Caenorhabditis elegans: one gene and its partners. The protein of the gene in region 3 interacts with the protein of the main gene of each other region in a pairwise test. Each region holds a gene or a part of one and is shown on either strand. Other genes may lie near its edges. The genes, in order: hpo-34, frm-1, lec-1 and C14F11.4.

Region 1 (5,036 bases), on a different chromosome or scaffold from region 3:
TAGGAGCACTAGGAGCTCCATTTTTTCGAAAGTTATAAAATTTTTGTGCCATGCTAAAAAAAATTACAAAATCGTGAAAACTTTTTTCCAATATCCAAATTAGTAACAATTTCAGCTTGTTCTACTTTTTTTGTGATATTCAAATATTTCAGAACTATCAGGAAATGATTTAAACCCTTTTCCTACGGTTGGCGTTTTACTTACAAATACCAAATACACATTGCCATTTCCAGACACTTTTTTGATAAAGACGACCATCTTAAGAGTTGAAAGACCTGTTTTTGGTTTCATAGATGATTTTAATTAATTATTTAAAAACACTTTTGGCTTAAAACATTATTTTTTCAAGAGAGACGGAGAAAGATAAATTTCCATGGCAACATTGTCAGCGCACGAAGATTATACAACCAAGCATAGAGATTGACGAAAGATTTGTTTCCTCTATTTTTATTCACAGTTGAACAAAAATTGTGCATGTTGCTGTAGAAATGGACAGATTATGGAACTATTAGATGAAACGCAGACTGTAGAAAAATAAAAATGGCCCGAAAATAAAAATCAGTAAATATGTTTAACTGTATCTGAAACAAAAAATAAATGATATGTTGAAAAATTTGCCATTAATGTTTTATTAAACCAATTTCAGCCGTATTCTATTATGGCACGAAAAACTAATTTCCCGAGTGTTCACAGGATTGCAAGGAAAAGTTCGATGCCGACCAACAAAACATTAATTTTCGTTATAACTCAAATTCGGTAGGATATTCGAAGATTTGAACATTATTTTTCAAACATATCCATTATATCCAATTCTCGAATTTTTTGGGTATGGCATCACAAAGTCATAGTCCGTTTCTGCGTTTTTCACTGTTTGGAATTGTAACTTTAAAAATGTATCATTTTGTGTCTGATTATTTTTTGCAACTCTTAAAAATTCTTACTTACTAGTTTTGCAATGTAATAATGTGTTATACAAATTACAAATGATATCTAAATAATTATATAATTTTAAATGTATAGAAAACTTTTACTTGTCTCAACATGACAATTTTGTTAGTCAAGCTTCAGTTTCCAGTCAAATAAAACATATCACACTAACAGAAACATTTTGGATAAGTTTTTGATTTAAAATTAAATTTTTATCTTTAATTTGTCATTGTCGTTTTCTCGGGAAATATAGTGTTTATCAAAATTAGAATGTGCGTTTAACTAAAATGTAGGATTTCATCATATTTGTAATTGAGCATTTAATAAGATGTTTTCTTGTGTCTTGAAATAAATTCAGATGTATGAAAAAAACTGTATTCGTTCAGATGACTTAACGTCCTTTCAGAGCAAATATTTTCGGGTACTGGCAGACTGTAAACATTAAAAACATCGACATTCTTTTTCTCTTTGTCACTTTAGCAAATATCATCTGCTATAATTTCCACTGCAAGTGCAATGCTTGTTACCTCCCAACTGGAACACTGACAGGTTAAAAAACTATAAAACGCTTGCTTCAAACAGCATGGAATTCAGTTGGAATATAGACCCATTTCTCTCCCATAATTTTAGTTTAATTTTGAACTTATGTTTCCTTTTCTGACATTAAAATATGTTCTCATGTTCTAAGCGTGTCTAAATGGAAGTCCCCCAATAAGTCACAAAAAATTATTATGCTATCATGTAATGTGTCCGGCAAAGAATCATTTATAAATTTCTCTGCGTTTATCAAAATTAAACGTGCTCCAAAAAGTGTGCTGCGTGTCACATACTATCATACCGGTCGTTTCGAAATTGTTCTCTACCCTCACTTTCCCCTTGTCGTCGTGGTTTATCATCTTACATCAAATGGCAGTTATCATCGGCGCCGTGTTTGCCGTTTGTAGCAGAGTTAAGAGCCCGACTGCTTTTTGAAACCAATCTTCGCGTTTTACTTTTTTTCGCAACAATAATAATAATAATAATGATCTAACAACCTTTTCAAATTTAATTCTCAGCTATTTTAGGTTACCTATTGTTCGTGGATTGGAAAAAAGAACCGAAGAAAAAATGATGGAGACTAGGAATGCCAGTGATAGTAAGTATGACATTAACACATTTCCCAATTCCAGTTTTAAAAAGGTTTGATGGACCAAGTCTTTTCTGCTGTCACGCTTCCTGCTGTTGGACAAACAACTACCATCATGGAGCATCATCAAGAATCTCACACTGTTTTTCACCAAGTAAGAAAATTTTTGAACAGTTATTTTGTTGATATTAGTTATTTTATTGAATTTCAGGAGAGTCATCATGTTGAATCTCACCACGAGCATATGGAATTCTCCTCTTCTGGGGTAAGCAAATTTTTATTTACATTGTAAAGATTACTTTAACTTCAATTATAATCTGATTTTTTTTACTTCTGATTTGATAACTTATCAATTTTTTGCTCATCAAAACTGAAAATCAGTTGGTGCTCTTTGATTTCCGTGTTCGAAAAAGAATGACAGTATCGATTGATTTAAGAACAATTTTGTTGGAAAATGAACAAAAAATATTTTTTCAGGTTATCGTAGGAAACGTTGTTGGTCATGATGCCGTTATTCAACGTCGTCCAACTGTGGATACTGAAGATCAGCGGTCGGAGGTATATATTAAAATTAATCTTTCATTATTTTGAAAAAGAGCATTTATTTAGGTGTCCGCAATGTCAAAAGCCACATCAGTTTCTGTTCATTCTAGCGTTTCTCAAAAATCCGCTCAGGTATTTCAGTTCGAACAATGAAAACTATAAACGCCTTTTTCAGCACTACGATCTTCCACCTATCCCACAGTACGACATGCCTCCGATTGTTGTTGGGGAAGCTGTTGTTGGAAAGGCACCATCAGTTGCTTCTTCCAGATCAGGGTATATCTTAAGCTCACTCTACTGAAGAAATAATAAATAATTTTCACACACCTACAGGTCCCACCATTCCGTCGCTTCGCATCATTCGCATCACTCCCAACATTCCCATCATTCCGCTTTGACTCATGACAGCGAGTCGACTATTTCCGAGGGAACTCTTGTGAATGAGCCGATCGTCAGTTTTACAAAGATTAAAAAACAATTTATTCATGATTTTTCAGGTGGTCGGAGCACATGTTGCATCTGAAGCTCCAACCCCACTTGCTGTCGGACAATCATTCGAGCATGACGCAGTGATTGAGCAATTTAAAAATCTTCATGGAAGAGTAAATAAACATTTTCAAACTTAAAACACCTATAATTTCTTTTTCAGGATCAATCAGTGGTTTCCAGCATTGTTCCTGCCTCAGTTCACATTCAAAGTGACAGCGAGGACTCTATTGCTCCATCAAAGTTGACTCACTCGATTGCTGTTGTACGTTTTTAAATGACATATCAGTTAAACTGTGAATTGCTTTCAGGGAGGAGTTGTCGATTCTCACAATGGTGTCAATGTTTTGCACAGAAGTCACGAAGTTGAATTTGTGGACTTTGCTGCTCCAGCTTACTACCAACCACCATCAGTTGTCGTAAGTGTCAAGAGTTTGTGTTTTTTATTAATACAGCTTTGTTCAGGGCGCTTTTGATGCTCATAGCGAGGATTCGTTTGGTTTTGAGAAGGTGGAATATGTGGACACTCATGAGGACCATCACCACAAGTTGGAGGAACAAGTTCCGCAAGTTGTTCATGAACATGTTATTGAACAGCATTACGAGCCTTATCAAATCGTCCATGAGAACCATAATGTGTTATCGGTCGATTTCGGAGAGGATCAACACTCCATAACCCATCATGATCATGACCACCACCACCACCACCATGAATCCCATGTTACCCATACCTTCACCTCCAATGTGAAACAGTCCCGTTCTAACACTGCCTCCACTTACCAAAGTCGCCAAATGTTAGCACATAATGTTGGGCCTAAAATTACTGAGGAGTTGCGTCCGGCTGCGGTGCTGGAGGAGGAAGAGGTTGAGGTTAGGCCCCCAGTGATGGCCTACGTGGCTCCAATCCCAGTTAAGCCACCACGTACCCACGAAGAGAGTCATATCTATAACGCGTACGAAACGGAGATTCATCAGCAAAAGGATATCGTCAAGTCTACTACTGTTGTTCTGGAAGATGTCCGCTCAGGATCTGAAGGTATTCATATCCGAGCGGATAATTCTTCATCTGTTGATATTATAGGTGTTAGCTCCCTTCGCAGAAAGTTTGAGCATGGTGCTCCACCACCATTGTCGCCTGTCTTTGAAATGAAGAAGCATGAGCACCACAAGCATCTTGATCAACACCATCACCACAAACACCAAGACGTCGTCGTTGAGCAAACGCAATTCCAGGTCGGCGATAACTTCATCTCTTCTTCTTCTTCTAAAGCAATAGAGAATCATTATGACGTTCCTTTCGATTCTTATGAGATAGTTGATAAATCTGAAAACACTAAAAAATCCTCATCCTCTTACCACGCCTCCTCCTCCTACCACAAGCAAGCACCACCGCTGCCACTAGTCGATTACCATGTATATGACACGCCAACTGTTGAACATTTCTCCCATTCGCCAGCTTTCTATACTGACGATCAGCGCCACCATTATGTTCCCCAAATCAAGGTGATAACAGAGTATCGACACATCAACCCTCGTCATCATTACGTGGAAAGACAAATTAGAAAAGCTGATGGAAGTGCGATTGCACAAAGTCCGCAAGTTCAAACGATTGACTATTTTAAAGAAATCAACAGGGCTCACCATTTTGTCCCATCTACGCCACCATCGCTGTTTAACAACAAGCGAGAAAGTTTCCACCATCACAGCTTTATTCCAAACAGTTTGGAAGCTGAAAGAAAGAGTCGTAGTGTTGAAAGAGCGCACCATTATCTCCCAGATTCACCAGCGAATGTGAAAGATCAGAGAAAAATAATCAGGGAACATCATTATGTTCCTCTTGAGAAACGCTCTCAATCGTTGGATTTAAAAGTAGTTCATCCTGAACATCACTATGTTCCACTTGTCAGAAAAACAACGGAGGATCATCAACAAAAAGTGAATCACGAACATCATT
Region 2 (4,643 bases), on a different chromosome or scaffold from region 3:
AACATTGTCAATCTACAAGCTGGTTCAACAATAAAAACTGTTTGTTCTCTCTCTTCTTTGCTATTGCGAAAAATTGTCTCATTGCAACACCTCTCTCGCCTTCATCTTTTCTGCCTCCGAATTCCCACTACTGTGATTGACTGAGATGAAAAGAATAGAATGAAACAGTGTAATAAACTAAACGTTTTTGTTTTTTTTTTCTGCTGTTTTGTGGCCAACACAACGCCTGTTGGTTTCGTCTTCTTCATCCTGATGGCGGTGGCGAGAATAAGAGAGGAGAGCAACAAATAGCACAGAAATAGCAACAGTTGTGTGTGCACCTCTGCTATCAATTGAAGCTCTCCGTAAGCATTATTTTTTGCTGTTTTGATATATTGGAATTCTTTTGAAACTATGTGAACAATTTTTTATTGTGATATTTGCCAATAATGTGTATTTTGGGTCTTGTAGCGACCAACATGACTGACAATGAGAAAATTACTCTATCGAAAACTTCTAATTAAAAATACTAATCGTGATTTCACTTTATCAAGTTCACAAGCTTTTTAGAAACGTGTAATAAACGCCTCAAGAATGTATTCGGTTGGGTCTCGCCACGATAAAAAATTGTGGTAGCAATTTTCTATTTATTCGGGATTTCGTGAGCAATTTTTGTAATCATCACTTTAATTTTTTCTCGATGTTTTCCTATTTTTTCCTGAACTAAAAAATACGAATTACTTATTGAAAAGCTAACGAAAATCAAGGAAAATCGTTAAAAACTAATAAATTCCTGAAAAAAATAAAAATTTCCACCATAAACGTTTTCGTCGCGGCGAGACCCACTCGAACATAACTATGCGCCTTTAAGTTTACTGTAGACAAATTTTGTCCGTTTTTTCGATGTTTTCCTCTATTTTTTTCTATTTTCCTACCATTTATTGTATTTTAATTAAAAAGTAATTAAAAAGCTAAAAAATTAACTTATTCCCTGCAAACTTTCGACACGAAATCTTCATTTCTCAAAAATTAGTGTTATTCGCGCTGCGAATCCACATTTTCCACTTTTTCACGTTCTCTGGCATTTATAAATTTGTTTTTGTTTTTCAGAAGATAAAAACGTAAAAATTCACGTTATAAATTCCCATTAAAATCGTCAAAGCCAAAATTTTGAATTCGTATTTATTTCTAGTAAAAAAAAAGTATTCTTCAACTTTGAATGTAAATTTAGTTAACTCTTCCACTGTTTTTCTCCAATACTCTTTCTTTTTTCATTTCCACCTTCAAATGATCCTAATATTTCATGTTTTCTCACCACAATCTGCGGGTACCGGAGAAAAGGTGTAATTTTTCTTTATTGTCCTTCTCTACTATGCCTCCCAGAATTTATTGCGTTTTTTATGCCGGGCATTGGCTACTTTTTCTCCCAACAACACCAATTCATCCCTTCTGTCTTTTTTTTTCGCAGAAAAACAGAACAAAATGTGGCATTTCGAATAGAGCGCGTTTGCATTACTCCCCCCCCTCCTCCCTGTCGGCCGGGCAATTCAAATTTTAACACTTTCTTTTGCTCTATAAACTTTTAAAACTTCTATTTTCAATGAAAGTTGCAGTTTTTTTTCTAATTTTTATTAATTTCCTCCACATTTCAGAGCAAATGGGTACCGATAGAGATCCCGGAGACCAGAAACACCCAACGACTAGCCAGCAGCCACGAGATTCGAAAATGCAGTTGGCAAAAGTTCTTCTTCCCGACGGAGTTCAAAAGGAGTTTGAGGTTAATGTAAGTTTTTGAAGAATTTCACCGGAAAAACTGCTAAATTCTAAATTTTTACAGAAAAACTCGGAAGGAGAAGCACTTTTCCGACAAGTGACACGAGATCTATCGATTGAGGAACGCGAATACTTCTCGCTGTGCTTCTACGACAAAGATGAGGGAACACGACATTGGCTATATAATGATAAGAATATTGCGAAACAGATTAAAGGTAAAAATGAGAAAAAAAAGAAAATTTTGGTTAAAAATGTGGATTTTCTTCACAAAAAGCTAATTTCCCCCGCTTTTTCAAAAAAAAAAAACTGCCTTGAAATTTTTGGAAAGCTGTTTCAAGTAAATAAAAATATTTCTCTTATTCGGAAAAGAAATTGAATCGATTTCATGTCCAAAGTTGTATTAATTTTCCTTTTTTTTTGTAAATTCCCTGATGAATTACAAGAATCTAGGAATATTATCCTTAAAAATATAATAAAAAACTCTAACCCGCGGCCACGTGTCGATTTACGCAGCTCGTGTATTCCTCGAAGAAAAATAGTTTTTCTACATTTTTCGCAAAGTTTTCTCAAATCTTCTGTGTATTTCAAAGAAAATCGAAAAATCTGATAATTTTAATTTTGAAATCGAGTCTTTTTTAAAAGTTTACTGATTTTTTATAGAGCGAAAGCGGAAAATATTGAAAGTTGGAATTTTTGTTTCAAAAAAAAAAATTAGTCTGAAAAACATCGAAATCTCGAACAATTTTCAACCAAAAACTGCGTAAATCAACACATGGCCGTGTAAGAGGTTTCCCGCGGCCACCTATTTCATTTTCTTTTTTAAATCAATTTTTCAACCAACTGTCAAATTTTGCAGGTCTTCCTTGGGAATTCTCGTTCGAGGTCAAATTCTACCCGACCACACCTACAACGATCGTCGACGATCACGCTCGCTACTACGTCTTCCTTCAACTCAGACGTGATCTCCTCACCGGACGTCTTCCAGCTACTGCCGACACACATTCTCTTCTCGGATCGTTTGTCGCTCAAATCGAGTTCGGTGATGCTCCAGCAGAGATGACGGATGCCTACGAGCAGTTCATTGTGGCGTCCAAGCTGGTGCCATCAGCACAAGCGAATCCGGAAACATACAAGAAGATTGTCGATTTGCACAGAGAGATGCGCGGACAGACGCCTTCTGAAGCTGAAAATCAATTTTTGGATCACTGCAAGCACCTGGCTCTCTACGGAATCCACCTTTTCAAGGCAATCTCCGTATGTTTTTCGACAAAAAAAGGTTCCTGCTCGAGTACTCCACTAGGAAAATATTTTTTCTTAAATTAACATCTAAACTTCTATCATTTTCTTCTTTTAGTGCTCATTCTTCAAGTCCTTAATTTTGAAGAAATATTTTTAGTGGTTTATGAAAAAAATAGTAGTATTTACTTTTGTCTAAAATAATTAATTTGTTAAGTATTCTCTTTCAATTTATCAGCTTGGTGATTTTTAAGCTAATTTTGAAATTTCCGCCAATTTCTTGAGGGTGATCAAATTTTATTCACTGAAAAGTGTTTGGCAAATTGAAAAACGGTGTTTTAACTTAAAAATAAAAAGAAAATCAGGAAAACTGGTAAATTTAGCCAGTCAACGCATTGGATGTTTGAATCGAATTATTATTAAATTTGAATGAAAATTTGTCATATTCGGTCATTAGGGTTTTCTGTCACTTAAAGCACAAAATGTTTTGACTCTGTTCCACCTGTAAAGGAGTAAAAACTATTCGAAAATGCCCAAATTAGCTTTGTTTTTATAATTATAAAATATCTTTCAGGATAAGGACAAGAAGCCTGTGGACGTTGGAATCGGTGCCGCCGGAATAAACATTTACCAAGACGAGCAAAAGACGCATTCCTTCAGCTGGCAGAATATTATCAAAATCGGATATCGTCGTACTTACTTCTCGATAAAGCTCAAGGCAGGGACTGTCGAGAAGAATGAGAAGACATTGTACTTCAAGTTGCCAAACCATGTCGCCGCAAAGAGGACTTGGAAGTGTGCAGTCGAACATCACACTTTCTTTAGGTAATTTTTGAGAATAACTTATCTCAAAAACTGAATTTCTAAAAGAGAAGTTTAAAAAATACGTGAAGATTGCCTAAAATTATCTAAAAATTTCGGATTTTTCATCTTGCAGGAGTCGAAAAATAATTTTTGTTCTAATTTTCGAATTCCTGCTCGATGGATCAATTTTTTTTCAACTGTTTAACTGAAATTGATTTTTGTTTTGTTGAATTGTCGAACATGCTTTTCCAAAATTACGATTAAATAATTATCTCTGTCGTTTAAATTTAATTTCGACGGGTCTGAAAAAATTATTTCTTAAAATTAAATAAAATCTTTAATTTCAGACTGATCCAACCTGAAGACAAGACACATAAATCATTCTTCAACTTTGGCTCCCAGCGGTTCCGCTATCAAGGACGCACTCAATTCCAGACAAAGATTGCCTCGCAGATGTTTGATAAACCATCGACAGTGGACAGAGCGCCATCTGCAATGTCTCAACCAATAGCAAGTGAGTTTTTGATTACAATAGTTGAAATACATTATTAATGAATTTACAGCAGCCGAGAATCAGAAACTTCAAACACTCAATCTCACGGATTCGGAATTGGAGCAGCGCCAATTTGAGGTTAGTTTAATTGGTTTCCAGTGTGCTTTTCTATGTTTTTGTTCTAATATTATTTTGCATGAAACGCTTTTTAGAGCGCTTTTTTGTGTTTTCTATCGCTCACATCACAATAACTGCTTTTCAAATTTTGGAGAAAAACCACCGAAAACCCCTCAAGCACAAACACAAAATTCACATGTTTCTTCTTTCTACTCAAAAATTTTCAAACTTTTCCGCTAAA
Region 3 (4,932 bases):
GCCGCTTCATTTCGAACATTCGGATTTTTCGCTTCGAGTAGAGGGTCAAGCTGAAGAAGACGAGCCGACGTGTCGGCGCTCATCGGAAACTGAAAATTTTCAATTTTTCCGGCTTATTTGAGAGAAAAAACAGCGAAAAATGCATTTAAATCCAAAAATCCAAAAAAAAATGGGAGACACCACGCATTCCAGGGAACAAAAATCCTGAGGAAAACTTTAGAAACCCGAGTTTATAGCAGGATTATTCAGGATTATTCAAGATTTCGAGCTTCACATTATACATTATAATAATTATTGATTTAACAATAAGAAGAAAACTAAATTTTGTAGGCAAACCTGATGGGAAACACGCGCGGTTTTCACGATTCGACTTCCGTGCAATTTGTAGTGACTCGAGGAAAACGCGCTCTCCTGGACAAAAACGGCGGTACTTTCAAATATAGTTTTTTCGAGTTTTCGCTTACTTTTCGCGTTTTTTTCGCAGAACTTTTCATGATGATCCGCTTTCAAAATATGAAACCTGAAATGACAACGAGAAAATCTGCTATCCAATTTTATTAAAATACAATGTGGGGGGTGAGAAAAGATACAAAAAGAAAAACGCGGGATTACAGTTCAGTTGCCGGTGCGAAATAATAGAGAAATGATTCTTTTTGGGGGGGGGGGGGGGGGAGAGGGGCAGTAGACTTTTGGAAGATTGATCAGTGAGAGAGAGAGAAATGGGAGAGCTGGATAACAGAAGAAAGAGGGGGAACAGGGGATATCAATACATAATTTATTGGATTTGAATTCCAGACAGCTCAATGTCTCCAGAGATCTGAAGCCCGGCAATGTCGTGTGGATCGGCGCGGTGAGCGAACGAGATGTAGCGTTCTCCGTTGACGAACACCTGGAACGCGTACTCCTCGTTTTGGATGACCAAGTCGAAGCCGACTCCCTTCTCGAATGGGTTCTTTCCCTCGCGCTCCTCATTTCCCCATTCGTTGGCGGCAAGAGAGTTGCGGATGACGTGCTGGAAGAAAGGAAATAAAGAATTTGGTCAAATTTCTATTGAAATCGATTTTTTTTTGTCCTTTCACCAATTTTACCAATAGAAATAGACACATGCAAAACTTTTGTGTCTCATAAAATTGTTTGTTGAAGAGCGCCATATTTGCCCAAATGTAGCAAACAAAATGCGGGTCTTTTTGTGTATGTGTGTGTGAGGCACCACAGAAAGGAGAACAGGTGAACAAGGAGAACACAGAAACCACACCCATTTTTCCGTGCCGCAAGTTTTCCGCAAATTTTGAGGCACCACGTTTTCAGGATCTGGGGCACCGTGCCAACTGCGGTTTTTGCAGTTTTCTCTCGCTGAAAAACGAAACAACGATACTCCGATATGACGCGTCGCGTGTTGTTTAGCGTTCAGAATAATGTTTTTTTGAAATAAAAACTTTTGGAAAACGCTAAACAACACGCATAACATCGGAGCATCGTTGTTTCGTTTTTCATCGAGAGAAAACTGCAAAAACCGCAGTTGGTACGGTTCCAGATCCTGAAAATGTGGTGCCTCTCGCGGCACGGAAAAATGGACGTGGTTCCTGTTCTCCTTTGTCGTGGTTCTCCTTTCTGTGGTGCCTCGTGGCATATATCAACCCTTACCTTCTCATCGAAACGTGGGTTGAAGTGGAACGAGATGTCTCCATTCTTGCGGAGAAGGTTGACGTGGAAGCGCTTGGCCTTCTTCTCAACGGTTCCAAAGACGAGGAGGCTCTTTCCGACTGGAAGTCCGTTGGCGAGTCCGCTCTCGTATGGTACTGGGTAGTACTTTCCTCCCCAGTGAACGTGGTTCAAGTAGAGATCTCCGTCAATCGAGAGGTGAGAGATTGAGGAGAGTGGCAGACGGTGCTCGTAGTCCTTGAACTCCTTGTGGTCGACGATGATCTGGAAGCGATCGTCGTGAGCACGGATGCGAATGTCGAACGAGTCTCCCTTCTTGATTGGGTTCGACTTGCGCTCTTCCTTTCCCCATTCTCCATTCGAGAACGAGTTGAGCACAATTTTGCCCTCATCGAAGCGGACAGAGACGTGGAGTGGCACATCGTTTCCGGAGAAATCCGCGGTCTTCGAGTGAAGGTTGATGGTGAAGCGTTGCGACTCGTCGATCGTCGATCCCTTGACGATGAGCGTCTGTCCGGGCTCGAACTTCTCCTGGAGCACTGAGCGGTATGGTACTGGCTGAAAAATTTAAAAATTTTAATTTTTTAAAAAATTAATTGGATTATTACGGGAACACATTTTTCTGATAATGCGTACTGCACAACATATTTGACGCGCAAAATATCTCGTAGCGAAAACTACAGTAACTCCTTAAATGCCTACTGTAGCGCTTGTGAAATGCCGTAAATCGACACACAAGCGCTACAGTAGTCATGTAATGAACAATGAACTACTGTAGTTTTCGCTACGAGATATTTTGCGCGTCAAATATGTCGCGCGATACGCATTCTCAGAATTTTGTGTTTCGGTAATAGATTTATAAGTAGAGTTTTCTAGAACCATTTCTTCTTCCATATGCCATTTTAAAATGTTCAGTAGGGTAATCATGTAGAAATATATGCTGGGGGGGGGGGGGGACCTCGCGTGTCACACACTGGTGAACAGAATAAGCGAGCAAGAAGCGAGACCCGAAAAAGCGGAAGAGCTGTTATCCAATCTGCATCCACCAATCTTCGCGCTCCCCAGACTTTCATACAGCTGACGACGACAAAAAATGCCTTTTCTACATTGTCTAGTTGCTTTCTATTTTTTAGCTCCATTTTGCTCCATTTTGCACAAAATTTTGTTGTGATGTGCCGCCGAGCAAACACACCAGAAATATGGCGGGAATCTCGAATGTTGATAATGGAACCGAAGGTGTGGGCGAGCAGATAACGAGAGGAATGTGTCACTTTAGTGGCAACCAACAAACTTGGAATGCTCTCCATTTTCGAGCTGGTGTCAGAATGTCCCATGTCAGTTTGATCTCCGAAAAGTTGCAGGAGAAAAAATTCCCGCTTTTTTTTGTAGATCAAACATGGGACAGCCTGACACCCCCATGTATAGAGGCATGCTTTACCTTGTTCTGCTCGTACCAGCGAAGGAATTGAGGAGTGGAAGACATTAGTGTAAAGAGTTGAGCTGAGGAAAACTGAAAGCGATCGTTCAGGACGCGAGTCAAACGAAGAACTGACGACCGGTAAACAGTTTCAACAAAAGCTGAGAGTGTGAGAGGAGAGAGAAACCAGACAGTTGAACAGTCATAACATTCGCAAGCGCCGCCCAATATTGAGTCAGAGAGAGCATGGAATTATGGGAGGGTGACAGCATGTGCGCGAGGCGACATTGAAATGTTTCTTTTTGTGCATCTGTCTGTGTCTCCGACTTCTCGTACAGTCTCTCGCATACGACTTCTCGCCATGATTCATCGTGTCGTTGTAGGCGAAGAAAACAGTGAAATTGAAAAAAGGAACGGAACTTTCTGGAGAGGAAGAGATCGATAATGAGTGTTGGTACAGTTTTCAGCTCGAAATTTTTTTTGTATGATTTGTTGAAACTCAAACAACAAAAGTTTTCGGAGCAAAATCCATGCTCAATATTTGCGTCTTCGCATTACTGTTTACCGCATTTCGAGTCTGGGCGTCACGTGCAAACTTCAACTTCAAAGGCTCGAAATGCACTTCAAAAACCAGGGGGTGGGCGGCAAACGATTTTTTTCCGGCAAATCGGCAAATTGCCGGAATTGAAATTTCCGGCAAATCGGAAAATTGCCGGAATTGAAATTTGCGGAAAATCGGAAAATTGCCGGAATTGAAATTTCCGGCAAACCGGCAATTGCCGCCCACCCCTGCTTCAAACGTTGAAAAGGTGTTGCACAACTAGGGCCAAGGCGAGAAAAAATGTGGCATTGATCTTAGGCAGGTTCTCATGGTGTACTAGTGTTTTGTCCAAATTGCCAAATTGCCAAACTGCCATTTGTTGTTCTATATTCGAGAAAAAGGAGGTTACTACTCGTCGGAAGATTTTCAAGAAGGCACAAGACATCGAAGAGAAAGGACATTCATGATGAGACACGGCTTAACATAGAAGACTGCAGAAGCAATTTGAAATTCGAGTGGTAAGCATCTTAAAGATCAACTGGAAATTGTTTCAAGCTGGAAAAAAGAGATTAAAAATGCCTTTTGAGCTTTTGATGGAAACATTTTGGTCTCACTTTAGCTGAAGACGTTTCTAAATTCGAAGCTTTTCAACCTGATTCTGTAGAATTGCTGCAAACTGGACGTTATGCAAAAATCGTTTCTTTAAAATTGTTCACTTAACGATCAATCATCAGTGTCAAGAACTACAATTTCGAAATCAACTATCAACAAATATATTTTTTGCGGCGTCTGATCTTCCTTCTGATTCAACACGTAGTAGTAGTAGTCCAAACATCGGTGGTGAACTATAGAGGTGACACTTACAGAAACGGGCAAATTCTCCAAAAGTTTCTGTCCTTTCTTTTTCATTATTTCTTACGCTTGACTGGGGCCGCCGCCGCACTTTCATCACCCCCGTACTGATACGGTTTTTTTTCTATTCTTTTCTTTTTTGTTGTTGTTACAACACCGTTAGAAACGAAACTCACGTAGGACTTTGGCTCTTCGGCGGACATTTTTTGCTGGTGGTGGCTTTTCGGTGGTTCCTGAAATTAAAATTGAATTTTAAAAACATGATTATTTAGAAGAAGAAGATGAAAAAGCGAGAAAATTTCCGACGACGACGACGACAATGGCAATAAAAGTGTGGTCTCTGGGCGCAATAGAGAGAGAGAGAGAGAAGGGCAGGAGAGACGCAGCATTTCGTAAATAAAGTCCGAGAGACAACAGACGTGTAAACAAGAGACAAAAGAGCACAGAACGTGTGTGAGAG
Region 4 (4,549 bases), on a different chromosome or scaffold from region 3:
AAGGATTGGCCAACCGATTGGCCCCGTATGGACGCCGTCATGCCAAGAGTAATAATTCAAATCGCATGAACAGAAACACATCGAAACTTTTTTGCAGTTTTCCAGTCAACTTGATCGCATGGATCGCAACTGGAGGAGTGATCCATACTGGATGAATCTCTACCCAAGATGGGCTGAGCCAATCTTCAAGGAGGGAATTGACGTAAACTCCAATGTGGTTAATGATGATCGTAGATTTGCCGTTGACATGGATTGCTATCAATTCCGTCCTGAAGAAATTCAAGTGAAAACTCTTGATGATACTCTGATGATTGAGGGAAGACATGAGGATATTCGTGATAAAGATAACTTCACCAAAATGTACTTTGTCAGAAAGTACCAACTTCCAAGAGACGTAGACTTCAACTCGATTCAAAGTAGTATTGATGCCAAAGGACGTCTTCAAGTTGAGGCTGGAAAATTCAACAACATGGCATTGCAAGGTCGCGAGCGTATGATCCCAATCGAAGGAGCCGGGCACCATTCACCAAGATTTGAAAATGGAACACTCCGTTCGCAACGAGGACCAAACTCGCCAATTCATGTCCAGACTGAGCACGACGGGAGGAGCGTGTCTAGCAGAAGTGGATCGCGATTGAATGATAGTCCAGGATCGAGAGACGTGTATTCTTCTCATTCTTACAGGTAATCCTACAGATAATGATAGTGAGTATCTGAAAATAAAAATTTTCAGCTACCACCGCAGCGACTCTCGCAATCGTCTCTCCCCAAATGATGTTAACATCACTAGAAATGACAACCGAACATATAGCCCAGTCACTCCTCGTATCACAACAAGTGGTAAGTTTTTGAAAATACATAGTTAATTCAAATTTTCCAACTTTCCAAAACACTGCTTTCTGTCGTGTTCTCTTTCCACATTTCATTTTTCTTTCTATTTCTCTTTTCTATCTAGATCCCATAATTACCTTCAGAGCGGACAGTAACACCGGAACAGCGGTCGCCGGGTCGAAAAGCGTTCGAAACCATTCGAAACAATTTTGAGCGAGGTCATTTTTGCAATTTCGCACATCGCGTTTCTCTTTTTTAGTTAATTTACACACATTTCACACGAATTACTTCCCACTTCCCTCATCACAATTAGAGTAAACTTCCAACAGTTTACTGACAATACTTTGGATTTTCTCATCAATCACAAATTAACTACAACATTAACATGTTGCGCCTTTGGTCAAAAATGATCGTTAATGACACATTATTTGTTGAAAACTTGGATTTTGAAAATTCGAAAGTTTTAAAATTGGAATTTTAGGGTCATATAATACTGCTGGAAATGCAAATCTTCACGAGGAGCGTTCAAGCTCTCGCGCTCAGTCTCATCGCTCAGAAAGTCGCAATGGAGGTGAGTTTTCGCTATACATTGAGGGTTCTTCAATCAACTGAAGTGGTAAAATTTTTCAGGATACCGGGTCGAGTCACCAGTGAGCACTACAACTGGAATTCTTCGTAATGGAAACTCGGACTCACCAAACTCAACTCAACGCGAGTACCGATCAATTCAAATTCTCCGCAAGACATATTAATTGGACCAAAAACCTTATGCTTTTACTCATACCCGTTCTCCTTCAAAACTTCACAAAATTCTGCCTACAGCTTTTAAAACAAAACAATATATTTTCTGATGCTTCCATATACTCTATTCACAGCTTTTCCACTTTCAAATGTACACCTACTATTATACATAAACATTTATGCTTTTTGTTTACTAATTTTTAGTACGATTTTGTTGGTTTCAAATCTAGAACTTGAGGTGAGAAAAATATGATGATATAGAAAAGATGAAAAGAAAAATGATGGAGCCACAAAAAAAAACAACAAAATACAATCATTTCTCACTTTGATAATACAATCCATTCGACGCTTCTTTTCTATCGATCATGTCCCGTTATCCACCGCTGGTCACCAAAAAAGAAATCATCTACCGGCGTTTTATTGATGATGTGAGTTTAGTCTTAAAAACTAAAGAAGTTATTATTAAAATCGAATTAAAAACAACGATAATTTTCAGATATATATATATATATATATATATATATATTTAAAATGCAATTTAGAATAATAACTTTTTGATAATTGATTGCAAAAATTAAATTTTGACGAAAATTCTAAAACTCCAGTTATTCAAAGTACCAGAAACAATTTTTATTTGTAGCATAATGAACGTTTCGACAATATCGTGAGAAACCCTACATCATATCCTCCAAGAGCTCCAAAACCAGAACGTCCGCAAAATTTGGTTGTAAGTCACAACTATCACTCTGACGTGGAAGCTGAGGTGAGCATTACTCTGCAAAAAATTTGTTTCAACATTTTTGTTTCAGTACCAACTCTCAAAAATCAACAAAAAGTTGGATCGTATTATTGAAATTCTTCGGAGCCCATCGACCAAGGTATGTGCACAAACACAGTTGTATTGTTCTTGCACTAAACCGTCCGAAATGCTTACTTTTTATTCTTTCTTTCTTCTTTTTTTGAAACTTTTCATTCAGAAAACTTCCCAAGAGCCTCCAATCATTGACGTCGCACGCCAGGAGCAAACACGTCAATACAAGGATATTTGCGATAGGCTCGACAAATTGGAGGCTGAGTTAACTGTAAACATACATTGGAAAACAAACCAGAATACCAGATGTTTTAGGGTAAAACTCAGTTTGTTGCGCCTCTCCAAAATGAAATTTCATTATTGACAAATAAAGTTCACGAATTGGCCCAAATACAAGAGGGTTTAAGAGTGAAGCTAGTTTCGAGCAACATTGCAGGAGAAGACATCGATGAACTTTTGGTATGAAAGATGTTAAAAGGAAATCTTCAAAAAAAAACTTTTTTTCAGAAAGTCATCAATGAGACCAGAAGAGATATGGAAGAGAAAATTGGGAATATCAAGCAACTGAGTGACGGAAATTACATTCACCTGGAAGATAAAGTATGCCAAATCATATAGAACCCAACCATAAAACTTGTTTCCAGCTTGATGGATATCTTCGCAACCAGCATGGCATTCAACTCCAGGTAGACCATCTAATGCAGCTTCTGACTCATAGCTCTCGTCCGGCATCTGCTATTGGCTCAAGACCCGGTTCAGCTGCGGAAAAGATGAGGTAAATGATTGAATATATGCATTTATATGTACATATAGGTAACTCCTTATCTATAAAAAAGTTGATTTTATTTAAATTCCAAAATCCATATGTCGCATACCTCTGATCACCACCATGACACAAAATGTTTTTAGTAGTGTTTCCCGCTCATCGTCAAAAAGTTCAAACTTGAAAGCCAACCTTGTCATGCCAACTCGTCGTTCTCCACCACCGAAAACCCCAAGTGAAGCTAGCTACGCATCGACTCGCCCAAAAACTGAGCGTTCGTCATCTCACAAATCGGCAAGCACGGTCACATCATCTGCAACTATCACAACATTGGACAGTGCCAAAAGAAAGCCTCTCGCAAAAAATGCTTCACCAAAGCCACCAAGAAGTCCGGTGTTAGAAGTTTTGGAAAGAACAAAAAGTATTGAAACTATGAGTAAGTTTGAATTTTTTTAAATTTAGTTAAAGAGTTTAGAATAATTTATTTAAACCATTTCCAGATGAAATTCACACTTCTCAAAAGCTCGACGAATTGGCCATCGAAACATCATCTTCTGGCAGTTACATCGCTCCTCTACCCATCAACGGACGTCGTGATTCTCAACCAGCTAACATTTTGCTAACGCAGAAATATTAGGATATTAAATAATGATTGTTTTTTGCAAATGCTTTGGGATATGGGGTATTTCAATCAATTTTTCTAACCTCCGATAACTTTATTTTTTGTCGTCACAACTATATATTGACGCATGCTAGCTTCACATTATACACATGAATTGTCATCATTGCATAGCTACCGTAATATTGAATTCTAATTTTAAAGCTAATGAAGAAAATCAAACGACGCGTTAAATGAAATAGGGCGCACCAAAAAACAAGGGTCGAGTCAGAGTGAACTTTGCTCACAAAATTGGAAAATTCGGGAGCAGAATCAGTTTGAGACTGGCGGGACCTTTCGGAAGAAAAGGCGGTGCAAACATTGAGGTCATCATTCTAGAAAGCGTTTCTTTCGAAAAAAAGTCACAAGAAGACAACTCATTGTCAATTCTCGTAAAAAACAACATGCCACCACCATCATCACATTCAAACATTTTTCATTCGACGTTCAAGCACACCGTTAAAGAAACAATGGCAAATGGTAGGTCATAAATGTGCCCCTTGGCTACAGAGTTATAGACATACTTCTTGAAGTATAATATGTTCCTCGGCCATGCAATATTGGAACAGTGTTGAATTTCATTATTTTGTTTTCCTGAAATCACTTGTTTCATAATAGTTTGCCAATATAACGCTCTGATGTATTCTGGTAGTACCATAAGTAGGAACAGTTCCGAATGTGAGTTTTAAAATAAAAAATCGCAGACAACATTAACGTGAAAAACACTTCCAATCAAGAATGACGA

What was found.
Region 1: the proteins of lec-1 (region 3) and hpo-34 interact in a two-hybrid assay, tested with the Caenorhabditis elegans proteins (2 studies listed by BioGRID).
Region 2: the proteins of lec-1 (region 3) and frm-1 interact in a two-hybrid assay, tested with the Caenorhabditis elegans proteins (2 studies listed by BioGRID).
Region 4: the proteins of lec-1 (region 3) and C14F11.4 interact in a two-hybrid assay, tested with the Caenorhabditis elegans proteins (2 studies listed by BioGRID).

What each region holds. Positions count from the first base shown.
Region 1 is NC_003284.9:11,516,016-11,521,051, reverse strand, and holds the start of hpo-34 (ZM domain-containing protein), read left to right. Parts: upstream 1-1,985; 5' UTR 1,986-2,034; coding exon 2,035-2,062; intron 2,063-2,106; coding exon 2,107-2,207; intron 2,208-2,264; coding exon 2,265-2,318; intron 2,319-2,530; coding exon 2,531-2,611; intron 2,612-2,662; coding exon 2,663-2,728; intron 2,729-2,771; coding exon 2,772-2,872; intron 2,873-2,929; coding exon 2,930-3,047; intron 3,048-3,093; coding exon 3,094-3,198; intron 3,199-3,245; coding exon 3,246-3,347; intron 3,348-3,393; coding exon 3,394-3,501; intron 3,502-3,547; coding exon 3,548-5,036.
Region 2 is NC_003279.8:14,894,356-14,898,998, reverse strand, and holds the start of frm-1 (Moesin/ezrin/radixin homolog 1), read left to right. Parts: upstream 1-1,636; coding exon 1,637-1,762; intron 1,763-1,816; coding exon 1,817-1,967; intron 1,968-2,214; exon of another isoform or gene 2,215-2,436; intron 2,437-2,608; coding exon 2,609-3,006; intron 3,007-3,562; coding exon 3,563-3,813; intron 3,814-4,139; coding exon 4,140-4,306; intron 4,307-4,355; coding exon 4,356-4,423; intron 4,424-4,643.
Region 3 is NC_003280.10:13,195,322-13,200,253, reverse strand, and holds lec-1 (Galectin), read right to left. Parts: upstream 3,309-4,932; 5' UTR 3,146-3,308; coding exon 3,101-3,145; intron 2,221-3,100; coding exon 1,645-2,220; intron 1,013-1,644; coding exon 776-1,012; 3' UTR 541-775; downstream 1-540. Other genes in the region: btf-1 (BTAF (TBP-associated factor) homolog), read right to left, coding at 1-83. UniProt on the Caenorhabditis elegans protein: Binds galactose.
Region 4 is NC_003284.9:6,230,361-6,234,909, reverse strand, and holds C14F11.4 (AIP3 domain-containing protein), read left to right. Parts: upstream 1-1,861; 5' UTR 1,862-1,937; coding exon 1,938-2,000; intron 2,001-2,212; coding exon 2,213-2,335; intron 2,336-2,381; coding exon 2,382-2,450; intron 2,451-2,549; coding exon 2,550-2,654; intron 2,655-2,698; coding exon 2,699-2,842; intron 2,843-2,890; coding exon 2,891-2,983; intron 2,984-3,027; coding exon 3,028-3,158; intron 3,159-3,292; coding exon 3,293-3,582; intron 3,583-3,646; coding exon 3,647-3,783; 3' UTR 3,784-4,004; downstream 4,005-4,549. Other genes in the region: hsp-43 (SHSP domain-containing protein), read left to right, coding at 1-48, 98-684, 734-840, 975-1,049, 1,313-1,402, 1,462-1,583; lite-1 (High-energy light unresponsive protein 1), read left to right, coding at 4,209-4,284.